Mus musculus: one gene and its partner. The protein of the gene in region 1 purifies or fractionates together with the protein of each later gene. This does not show direct contact. Links are inferred from orthologs where the notes say so. Each region holds a gene or a part of one and is shown in the gene's direction. Other genes may lie near its edges.

What was found.
Region 2: the proteins of Ssrp1 (region 1) and Leo1 fractionate together in Homo sapiens (co-fractionation; 3 studies listed by BioGRID and IntAct, with this or other methods). This does not show direct contact. The link is inferred for Mus musculus from reciprocal best matches to the Homo sapiens genes SSRP1 and LEO1.

The regions. Positions count from the first base shown.
Region 1 is NC_000068.7:85,034,352-85,040,256, forward strand, and holds the start of Ssrp1 (FACT complex subunit SSRP1), read left to right. Parts: upstream 1-2,768; 5' UTR 2,769-2,977; intron 2,978-3,099; exon of another isoform or gene 3,100-3,179; intron 3,180-3,424; exon of another isoform or gene 3,425-3,442; 5' UTR 3,443-3,564; coding exon 3,565-3,618; intron 3,619-4,001; coding exon 4,002-4,187; intron 4,188-5,522; coding exon 5,523-5,628; intron 5,629-5,905. Other genes in the region: P2rx3 (P2X purinoceptor 3), read right to left, coding at 830-948. UniProt on the Homo sapiens protein: Component of the FACT complex, a general chromatin factor that acts to reorganize nucleosomes. The FACT complex is involved in multiple processes that require DNA as a template such as mRNA elongation, DNA replication and DNA repair.
Region 2 is NC_000075.6:75,439,226-75,445,130, forward strand, and holds the start of Leo1 (RNA polymerase-associated protein LEO1), read left to right. Parts: upstream 1-2,298; 5' UTR 2,299-2,352; coding exon 2,353-2,410; intron 2,411-5,905. UniProt on the Homo sapiens protein: Component of the PAF1 complex (PAF1C) which has multiple functions during transcription by RNA polymerase II and is implicated in regulation of development and maintenance of embryonic stem cell pluripotency.

The DNA.
Region 1 (5,905 bases):
AGAAATGACCGCAAGAAGGACAGACCCGTGCTTTCCTCCCAGCCATTGTTTGCCAAAGTCCCTTTGTATGTGTGCAGGAGGGCGGTGTTGGGATCTGGCTGGTCCTTGAGCAACCCCTAGCATGTGTCTTATGACACAGAGTGAGGCGAGAATTTATGCTGTTTAACAATAGGTATCATTTCTGCATTCCTGGGGAAAAGCCCCACACTAAGTCAGAAAAGGTACCTTTCTCTTGGGCAGGTCTTCCCTTGAGTGTGTCTGTGCCTCTGTCTAGCTTGGGGGGCAGTTCTCCTGCTCTCCAAGAACAGATGTCTCTTGCTTTTTAACCTCTCACCATCTAGCCCTATGACAAGAAGAAATTCCTAAGTCTACATTAAAGCCAGCTCTCCCCTTTCCTCTCTAGCTGGTTCTTCTTCCACACATCAGCCCATCTCCCTGGTTTTCATTCCTCCTTCCTGCGTTCCTTTATCTTTCTGGGACTCTAAAGACTCAATGGAGGGGAATGGGGAAATGTGGGGAGGGGTCTGACTTGGTTTTTGTTTTTGTTTTGGTCTGGGAAGATGGACCATATGGGTCCTTTCTTAACCAGGGAATGGACTCATATTCTTGGCGTATGTGTCTAGAATCCTGGAAGAGATTCTGGGTAAAATAATGCACCTGAGACGGGTCTAGATGGGAGTGGCAGAGGCCAATCCTGAGGACATGGCTCCCACAAATCAAAGTGTTTCCCAGAGAAGAGGGTCTAGGAGCTGCAGAGCAGCCTTGGGAGAGGGAGGGAAGGACATCAGGTAGCCCTTCTGTCCCACCATCCGAAGGACCATGGACTCACCCCACAAAGTAGGAGATAATCAGCAGCTGAACGGCTCGGTTGATGATCCCAATGGTCCAGCTTTTCACAACCACCGACTTGGTAGTCTCGTAGGTGAAGAAGTCTGATATACAGTTCATACTGAGAAAGTGCTCACAGCCACCCAGAAAGGCTGTGGATGCAGCCCAAGGAGAGAAAAGACCTCAGGACTGGGAGACAGAGATCAAGAACTGGAGTGGGCTGCTTAATGGGGCTTGAGGAAAAGAGCCAGTTCCTATAAGCCAGGCAACTGTAGTCCAGTGCCTCGTCTCTCCTCTTGACACTCTAGAAGCCAACAGTCCAGGGCCAGGGCGGTGGACCACCTTTTTATTCATCTTCACTCCACTCCCCTGTGATGTCACAGCAGGGGTGGGGTCTCCAATCCCGGGCTCCAGATTGCCTGAGATGCAGCTGGCTAGGGCCCTCTGGGACTTATGTTTCATCTGCACTCTGTCTACTGTTTCTATTCTGTTCTCTTACGCGGCATCTCTATCCCAGCTCACCAGCTGCTTTGTATTCTCCAAAGCCCCTTGTAACTGCCCACTCTTGAGTTAGCTCATCTGCCTGAGCCAAGAACTCCACTCTTGAGTGTCTGTCGATTTCTATCTAATAGCACAAATAGGGAGAAAGGGTTCTTGACAGTTCTGTGTCTCCTGGGAGGAAGACACGCATTTCTTACCATCTCCTCCTCTCTGCCCTCCAGCATCTCATTATGTTGTCTAACTTGTTATGTTGCCATGTTTCAAATTCACAATCCTCCTGCCCCAGTCTTTGAGTGTTGTGATTACAGATTTGTAATACTACAAAGCGGAAAGTCGCTTATTTCTAACTCTAGTTGGTTGCAACTCTTCAAGTTGCACAGAAATTACTGAACTCCCTCTCTTTTTAAACCCCGAAGTTATTAAAATCTTTTGTTAGGGTATGTGCTCCTAAGAGGCTGGGCTATTTTAACGATCTTCAACAGTTTTGTCAGATCCTAGAAACGTGCTGCATTAATAGGTTTTCATTATGTCTTAAGCCCAGTTTGACTTAGCTAAATAGTGCTAGCAATGATAGTGGTTAAAGCCACAAGCACCGAATGACAAAACACATTTTTATCTATATCATATCCCAGGACTGAGTTAGCAAGTCAGTGCAGTGATATTTCAGGGAAACTGTGGGCTTATCCTGTCTTTGTGTAGGACATATGCTAGCAATCACTCTAAACCCTGAACCCTCATGATTATAAAAGGCTGATGTTAAAGAGTCTGTGTTCTAGGTTCCAGTTTTGATGGTAATGGACTGACACCCAGTCGCAAATCTTTTGTGGTCTCATTTTTCTCATCTGTAAAATGAGATAAACTCAAGCATCTCTGTCAGACCTGGCTTCAGATTTTGCAAGATGCACTCCGGTGCTATGTGAGGCCATCCGGGCTTCTGCCAACGTAGGCTGATGTGATTTCAAGTAAGTTCTAGCTCAAAGGTAAATCCGACACCACCACTTGAATTTAATGCAGCCATCTGCTAGGCTCTTCCTGAGAACCCACAAATTAGGGATATGGACAGGATAGTGTTGGGGGTAGGTGAACTCACTGCAGAAAGGATCTGATCTACTTGCCAGGGTACAGCTGGAAAGCAAGCACAATCGCCGACACCCGCATCTCCTTTGCAGCTAGTGGGGCTACACCTCTGTATTTTTCTTGTTCAACAGACTCCTTCCCAGATTATTTCACAGGAGGGAGGGGCGTGCATGATTCCAACAAACATACAAACCTGAACACCTAATAAAACCGCATAATTTCCCTTCGGAATCTAGTCTTTGAAGAGCAGCTTGTAACTTTCTAAAGAGTGTTCCCGTTTTCTAGTCAAGAATTCAGCCGCGTGGGATTCCATAGCAAGCCTCTCGCTTTAGCCGACCAGGGGGAGTGCCGACGCTCTAGGCGAATGTACCCGTTGGTCGGCCCGGATGATGCCGTTCTAGCCAAGTCTTCCTCTCTATGGTCCGTGCGCGACTTCCGGTGGCGGGACGCGGGGCTGCGCACGCGGGAAAAGCTTCCCCGGCATCCCTTCCCCCGCATCCCTACCCCCTCCCCTGCGTCCCCCTGCGCCCACCGCCCTCACTGTGCCGTCGCGAGGCTGCAGCTCTTAGAGGTGGGTGGTCGCGATCCCTGGGCCCCTGGTGTGCATGGGCCCCGCTCCCCCGCGGGACGATCGGAATGGATCGATCCGCGTTCAAATTCGCGGGCAATGGGCGAATCCATTTTAAAAGAAGGGGGAGAAACGTAGATTCACGCGGGGCCCCGGGGTGGTGGGGTCTCTGCGATCAGGACACTACCCTCTGAGCGGAGTTGAGGTGCGCTCTCTGAGCGGGTCTCAGGTTCCGCCGATTGTTGCCGTGCCTGTCCGTGGAACGTACCGAGAGGGTGTCGGGTTGGGGTGTAAGCGCCACTATAGGCCTGGTTCTGCACCTAGGGTCCTGGGCCTTGGCCTCAGGAGCCCTGCAGAACGGGTCAGTAAGATCCCCAGGCAGCAAAGAACTTGAGACATACCAGGTACATGGCTGAGCGGAGTAAGGTGGCGTTGTTTCTTGCTTATCAGTCTCCTTCCCGAATTCAGATTCCCACCCTGCTGGACATCTACACAACTAACCAGGAATTGGGGCACAGCATCCAGAGAAGGGTTCGTTTTCTCTGGTGCAGCCTAGGGCTGTGTGCTCAGGCCACCACGGGCAGGTGAACATGGCAGAGACATTGGAGTTCAACGACATCTTCCAGGAGGTGAAAGGGTCCATGGTGAGAATGGCTTGGGCAAAAGAAAGGCAGAGAGGGGGAAAGAGTTCGAATCTATGAACGAAAAGCTTAACTCTGACTACTTTTTTGGAAACAGTGTATCAGTGTGTCCCCCAAGCGAAAACGTGAGCAAAGTCTCAAAGAGTTGCAAGATGTTGAGTTTGTTGAGTTGTATTAGAAAACCAGGAAACTGGGGCCCTTACAGGGTTTCTGATGCCAGAGCCAAGCTTGCAGTCTAGACTTAATGTCTGTTGTGTCTTTTAACTTGATTTCACCACGACCGCTTTTCAATTGATACTCTGGCCATCCTGCATCCCATGGGTAAGGGGTAGAAAGGATCCACTACACACTACCCTGTTCTGATTTTGGGTCTGTATTTTGGGCAGAATGATGGGAGGCTTCGATTGAGCCGTCAGGGTATCATCTTTAAGAACAGCAAGACGGGCAAAGTGGACAACATCCAGGCTGGGGAGTTGACAGAAGGCATCTGGCGTCGGGTAGCATTAGGCCATGGGCTTAAACTGCTCACAAAGAATGGGCATGTCTACAAGTACGATGGCTTCCGCGAATCGGTGAGCGATCTTGTTCTGTGACCCACTTTCTTTGTAACTGCCTTGTCTTTTTTTATTTTTAATCTTCTAGAGACAGTTGGCGTTTCTCTGATAATCATGTTACTGCTCATTTGGGTTCCTCGAAGCAAGGCTGTTGGAGACTATTGAACAAAACAAACAAACAAAAAAAACAGTGTTGTGTATTCAGTACACGTGTCGTGTACCTGGACTCCAGGAGGTTTTCTACCATCTTAACTTATACCATGGTTTCCACTTGCTCCCTCTGTCCTGGCTCAGCATCTTAGCTTGGTGCTCTAGGATTTTGCTTTTCCATTTTGAGCTGCTTTTGAGTTACTTGGTTTTAATATTCACTTTCATCAAAAGATCACCTACACAAAGTTTAGAAACTCAGGTGATGCATGTATCTGGGAATTTAAGTTTCTTTACTACTCTTAGCCAGAGGCCCAGAAAAAAAGTTTTTGTGGTTATTGTTAAAAAATATTTTCAGGGTCTGGAGAGATGGCTCAGTGGTTAAGAGCACTGACTGCTCTTCCAGAGATCATGAGTTCAATTCCCAGCAACCACATGGTGGTTCACAACCATCTGTAATGGGATCTGATGCCCTCTTCTGGTGTGTCTGAAGACAGCTTCAGCGTACTCATATATAAAATAAATAATTTTATTTATTTATTTATTTATTTATTTTTGACAGGGTTTCTCTGTGTAGCTCTGGCTGTCCTGGAACTCACTCTGTAGACCAGGCTGGCCTCAAACTCAGAAATCCACCTGCCTCTGCCTTCCAAGTGCTGGGATTAAAGGTGTGTGCCACCACTGTCTGGCATAAATAAGTCTTAAAAAATAATTTTCATTCGTTAAAAAGTATTTATTTTATCTGTATGAGGCTTTGCTAGCTTGTGCACCATGTGCATGCCCGGTGCCCACAAAGCTCAGAGGAGGGCATTGGATCAGCTGGAACTAGAGTTACAGACAGGTGTGAACCACTGTGGGGCGCTGAGAAGGACTCCAAGGTCTTCTGGCAAGAACAAGTACTCTTAACTGCTGGGCCATCAGGTCTCTAGCACTTAAAAGGTTTTAAGCACAAAGGTTAAGGGAAGGAAAGAGGCTTGGAAGAAGGACATCCTTGAAGAGTAGGGCAGAAGGCATCTGGGTTCTAGAAACAGTCTCCACTAACAAAGGGAAATTGTTTTGAAACAGTTTTGGAGTTGGTATACTCAGTTAGCTGAAGTTCCTGAGGAAGATACATTGGTGACCTGAGCTAGAGACTCTCAGGACCTGTTAGTTGTGTTGAGACCCAGAGGTTTAACTGGATCTGCATTTTCTCCGTTTGATTTACAGGAGTTTGAGAAACTCTCTGACTTCTTCAAAACTCACTATCGCCTTGAGCTAATGGAGAAGGATCTGTGTGTGAAGGGCTGGAACTGGGGGACAGTGAAGTTTGGAGGTGAGTGGGCAAGCTTGAGGTTTGGGGAGAAGGTGGGGTGAAGGAGGGCCTCAGATGGTACCTTTCTGTACTCTTTCCTTGGTTCTGATTGCTAATTTCAGTTTGTGTGTTTAGCATGGGTTTCTCCAGCATGTACGGTCCATCAGGCACTGTGCCTGGTTTTGGTACGGTGTGAACAAAGTTCCTCCAGTCCTCTGACCTCGCTCACGGGCCTCAGGACTGGTGGGGATGCTTCCGAAGCCTCTCGGGGAGGAGTCTGCGATGTGACAGGCTCTTT
Region 2 (5,905 bases), on another chromosome or scaffold:
AAACCCCACACCCCTAACACAAATCTAAAACTGCTGATGAATTTTAAGTGATTATTTACATTATGGCCAAGCAGATCATATTGGGTAGGCTATCAACAGCCACAGTCTATTTCCTCCCATTTTTCACACATAAAAAACAGTAATATAGTAGAATATATCTTCTAGCAGTGGTTCTCAACCTCCCTAATGCTTTGACCCTCTAATATAGTTCCTCATGTGTGGTGGCCCCCAACCATAAAATTATTTTGGTTGCTACTTCATAACTTTTTCTTGCTACTATTGTGACTCATAAATATTTTTGGAGAGAAAGATTTGTCAAGGAAGTTGCAACCCACATGTTGAGAACCATATCCATCTTATAGGTATGTTGATCTATAATCCCTTATCTATAATTCTAAAACCAAAAAAGCTTAGAGATAGGCTGGAGAGATGGCTCAGTAGTTAAGAACACTGACTGCTCTTCCAGAGGTCCTGAGTTCAAATCCCAGCATGATACAGTGGCTCACAACCACCTGTAATGAGATCTGACACCCTCTTCTGGTGTGTCTGAAGACAGCTACAGTGTGTGGGACTGGAGCAAGTGGGGAAGGAGCAAGCAGAGGTCCTGATTTCAATTCCCAGCAACCCCATGATGACTCACAACCATCTGTACAGCTACAGTGTACTCATATACATAAAATAAATAATCTTTTTAAAAAAAGCTTAGAAATGGAGACTTGGAGAGATGGCTCTGTGGTTATGAACACTGGCTGGGTTGCACTGGTTGCTCTTCCAGAGGACCCAGGTTTGATTCATAGCACTCACATGGAAGGTAACAGCTGTCTCTAACTCCAGTCCCAGGTAATGTGATTGATGCCCCTTTCTGACATCTTCAGGTACCAGGTATGCATGTGGTGCACAGATATGTATGCAAAGTAAAGCACCCATGCACATTTAAAGAAATAAAATTAAAAATAAATTTATTTTAATAAATGTAATTTAAAGAAGAGATCAGAAATGAGCAAATACTGCCAGAAACTAACCTAATACTACTGAAAGCTTCATCCTTAGTAATCCAGGCTGTCTTTGTGGCCCCAGCTGGCCTCAAATTCTCAGTTGTCTTCCTGCCTCAGCCTCCCATATTGGGATTTCTAGTCCTAAATCTTTTATTTTTCCCCAGTGCAGATTGAATTTGAACCCTCACTCATAATAGGCAAGCTCTGTACAGAGCTACTTTCCATGTGCCTAGAGGCCAAAGGCCGATTTCCAGTGTATTCTTGAAATGCTCTTCACCCCACCAGGCAGCACCTTACTTTTTTTTATTTTTTTTCCCCCAGACAGAATCTCTATGTATAGCCCTGGCTGTCCTGCTGTCCTGGAACTCGCTATGTAGACCAGGCTGGCCTAGACACCACCATCCAGCATCTGTATTTTAAGACAAGGTCCTTTATTGGACCTGAGAGCTGGGATTACAGATGTTGGAAGCCGTGCCTGAGTTTAAGTAGGTGCTGGATTTTCGGAAAACAGATCTTTAGTCTTTAAGGGCAAGTCATTTACCGACAAGCGATCTCACCAGGTCTTTTTTTTTTTTTTTTTTTTTTTTTTTAAAGATTTATTTATTTATTGTATGTAAGTACACTGTAGCTGTCTTCAGACACTCCAGAAGAGGGAGTCAGATCTCATTACAGATGGTTGTTAGCCACCATGTGGTTGCTGGGATTTGAACTCCAGACCTTTGGAAGAGCAGTCGGGTGCTCTTACCCACTGAGCCATCTCACCAGCCCTTTTTTTTTTTTTTTTTTTAAGGGTGGGGGTTCTCAAGGATCCCACGCTGCTCTTGAAGTTGCTATGCAGTTGATGATGAATTTGGGTTTCTGACCCTTTGCTTCTAGAGTGCTGGATTACAGGCGTGCACCACTAACTACTCCAGGCTAGAGCTCTCAATGACTTATTTCTTATTCTTCTGCCACAGGATCTACGTATGTAGACATATGCTGGCTGGCTGGCTGGAACTCGCTTTGTAGACGAACCTGGCCTGGTATTCACAGAGATCTGCCTCCCCAGAGCAGAGCGACCACACCCACCCTCAACTATTTTTAAGAAACCTGGCCGCAGCTGACAGGTCGTAAACAAGTCTGACCCGCATCCCAAGCTCCGCACAGCGTGCGAGCGGGCTAACGGAGTAGCGGGCGAGCGCAGACACCGGGGCGGGGGTGGAGGGGGTGGGGGCGGAGCCAGCCGAGTGCTGGAGAAAACTAGGTCACAAAAGTAAAGTAGGTCTTTGTGCGGCTCTTTACGACACGTCGTGTTTGGACGGGTCTGGCCGTAAAGCAGGCTCGAGCCGAGCAAGCCAAGGCCGCGGACCAAGCTGCTATGGCGGACATGGAGGACCTCTTCGGGAGCGAAGCTGAGAGCGAGGCCGAGCGCAAAGGTGCGGCGGACGGGCGGGCGGGCGGGCGGGCGAGCTCCGCGGATGGGCACATGGGGCGTCGGGTTGCTTTTCGGCCGGAGGCGCGGCGCCGGGCAACGCGAAGTCCCCAAGCTCTTGCCCAGCGCCCCCTGCATGCCCGGCGGTGCCCGCCTCTCCCGGGGAGACCGCCGCGGAGTCAGTGCCTGGAGGATCAGGGACCGGCCTGGACTCCTGGGGGAGCAGAAGGGAGGACGTGTGGCCTGCGCCCCTCCGTGCATACATGGCCAATTGAAAGGGTGGCTGGCAGTGAATGAGTGGAGACATGTTCAACTGCCCATCGGGCGCGGTAACGCCCCGTGTGAAAGGGCGAGTTGATGGGAGAGTGTAGATGCCCCTGAAGGGTCTGGGAGGGATCAGGTTGGAGTTCTACAGAAGGACTACGCACTGGCGATGGGTGCCCTTGGAGAGCCTGTGCGGAAAGCCAGTTTCCTTGTCTGTGATGTAAGAATGGGGAAACTTGTGGAGTGTTTGGAGAGGAGTGACAGGATTTGGTGATGAATGAATGAATGATGGTTCATGGGGGGCATTTCTGGCACAGGTCTACGAATATCTGAATTTGAGATGTGAATAGAAGAATGAGGAAAGATCCGAGATGAACTTCAGAATTCTTGCAGCCCCCCCAGGCCCAAATTAACTTCTATACATGTCATTTTCCTTGCCCCTCCCCCCATTCGTCACCAACTCCAGTTTGTATGTAATTACTCCAGTTGTGGAGGGAGCACTAAGTAAAAGTACAGAGAACTAAACTCTTCCTGTGCCCGGCTTTGCTCATAGTTTATTCTCTGTGTCTTCGAGGCACAATTCTGTGTACACCTTCCCATGTTTTCCATGAAGCGTTTCATTCATTCAGTAAACAAGGATCCCTATCATCTCCTGGCCACCTTGCTAGGGGTTGGGAATGTAATCATGAGAAGACAGGTTCCCGCTCCCCAGCTTAGTGCTTAACGCTTAGTGCTTTTTTGCATCCACTGGTGAAAGCGTCGTTTAGTAAGATGTACCTGTAGTGCTTTCTCATAGCCACCCATAGCTTAGGGAAGTGGAGTGTACAGATGATTGCAGTTCTACGCTTTCTTCCCCTCCCCTTTCTTCCCTTTTAAAAACTTCTTTTAAGGTCATGGCAGTTTTCTTCCATTTTACCATTGAGTTAGTGGACTCTCCAAGACTGACTTTCAGGGTCTGGTGTCCTGTCTTTGACAACTGCTCTTAGTCTTGAAGTTGCTACGGATGTGACAGGGTAGAACTTGGTAGGTCTGCCTGATTGTCTGCTTACCTGCCTGCGTGCCTCCTTCCCTTTCTTTCCCCCTCTTTCTTCTACTGGATCTGCTGTGTATGTTGCCTTTGTTGGCTTTATACTCCCGATTCCACTTCCTCAGTGAGTGCTGGTCTTAGTTAGATGTGTACCTCCACTTCCAGCTAGTACTACTACGTCCTATTTTCTATTTCTGCTATACGTTGATCTTGTGACTTGATGCTATCCTGATGCTGATATGTTTTCTGTCATTGTTTTTGTGGCTCCTTTAGGGTTTTCTACATGTGAAACCATGCCATGGTGATTAGAGATAGTTGTACTGTTTCTTTCTCTTGCCTATTTATTTACCTTGCTATGGCTGGTACTCTCTTTATGATGTCGAATGGGACTTGCAGAAGTAGATATTGTTCTTGACCTCAGAAGGAGTATGTCTAGGTTTCTAGCATTGTTTATGGTTTATAATCATCGACTCTGTAAGGTCTATAATGTCATCCCCACTTGCATTCTTGACTTTAGTAATTTGAGTCTTGCTTTTTTTTTTCTTGTACAGTCTGCCTAATGGTTTAATTTTGTTAATGTTTTTAAAGAATGAACTGTTAGCCAGGCATGATGGTACATCTCTGTAATCCTAAAACTCAAAAGACAATAGGCAGAAGGATTGGCACAAGTTTGAGGCTTGGTCTACATAACCAGTTGCAGGCAGGCCAACTGAGACTACAAGAACTTATTTAATGGAGGAAAAAAAAATCCAACTACTGGTTTTAAACTACTGGTTTTATTGATTATCTACTTTGGGCTTTCTTACTTTCTTTTTGTTTTTGTTTTTTCAAAACAGGGTTTCTCTATGTAGCCCTAGCTGTCCTGGAACTTGCTTTGAACTCAGACTGTCTGCCTCTGTCTCCCTCTGGGATTAAAGGTGTGCACCACCACACCCGGCTCAAGGGTTTGTTTTTGTTTTTTTGACAACTTGATATGTTTAGCTGTGGATTCCTTAAGGTTTTTCAATGTGGCATTAATTAAACTTCTCGGATGTTAGATTCGTTCTATTTGGGTCATTATTTCTTTAGCTATTACCTTCTTCTGTTGGCATATTTGTATTACTATTTGATTGTGTTCTTATACCTCTACCTCCCTTCCAACCCTTCTCCACTTTGGTCCCTTTCCACGCCCTTCCCCCCCCCCCCAGCATTAGGTAGGAGAGAAAGAAGGTGAGAAAGAGGGAAAAGGGGGTGCAGACCTCTGTAGGCGACTTTGTACTGATTAAGGTCATACTGGTCCTTGGATCCATCCGGTCTCTGTCATCAGGATATCTACAACTTCTTCTTTTCATCTCTTTGCTCACTTTGTTCATGATTACTTTACAAACCGCAGCAGCAATCAGGAGCAGCAGCTTTCCCAGAGTGCCCTCTGCTCTCTCGGGGCTCTGTGTCTATACCCTCCCCAGAGTCCCCAGAGTTAAACTATCTGGCAAAAATCACACCCCTCCTAGAGCAGGAGACAATCATGGTTAATGGCTGCAGGCAAACTGAAGCAGCCCCATAGTCCACACCTGGGATTAAACAAAAACATACTCATATGACATAACTGGGGTTTGTAAACAAACCAAAACACTACATTCTTCACTCCATAATGCATATGTGGTGCTCTGATGGGACTGTGTACAATTGTTTTTCTATACTTCTGCTCTGTTTGCTTTTCTCTTCCTGCTGCATTTCGGGTACAGGGACCACTACCTGCTGGTCAAGAAAGTGATCAAGATGAAAGAGGTGATTCAGGACCGCCCAGTAACAAAGAACTGTTGACAGCAGTGAGGAGGAGATGGGGGGGCTCTCATCACAGTGGCGGGGATGTCACTCTGAACCAAGCAGTGCTCCCTGTACCAGAATGTAGGGCTGCTTACTGTTTTATTTCATGTCTAAGAACTAGGCAGTGGTGGGGTCTGAGGTAAAACATGAAGAGTTCTACTTTGTTTATTTAGTTAGTTCAGCTTTTTGAAACAGGGTCTCACTCTGTAGCCTAAGATGGCCTGGGAGTTACTGTGTAGCCCAGGGTGGCCTCCTATTTGAATGAACTGATCCTTTTGCTTCCGCTACCTGGGTTGCTGAGGTTGAGCTAGTGTGCCTGCTTACTGCAAGTCTGCTAAGTTGTCCTAACTGAACCTTCTGGTCCTTGAACCTTCTTTGTCTCTGGAACAGTGAGAGCGTTGG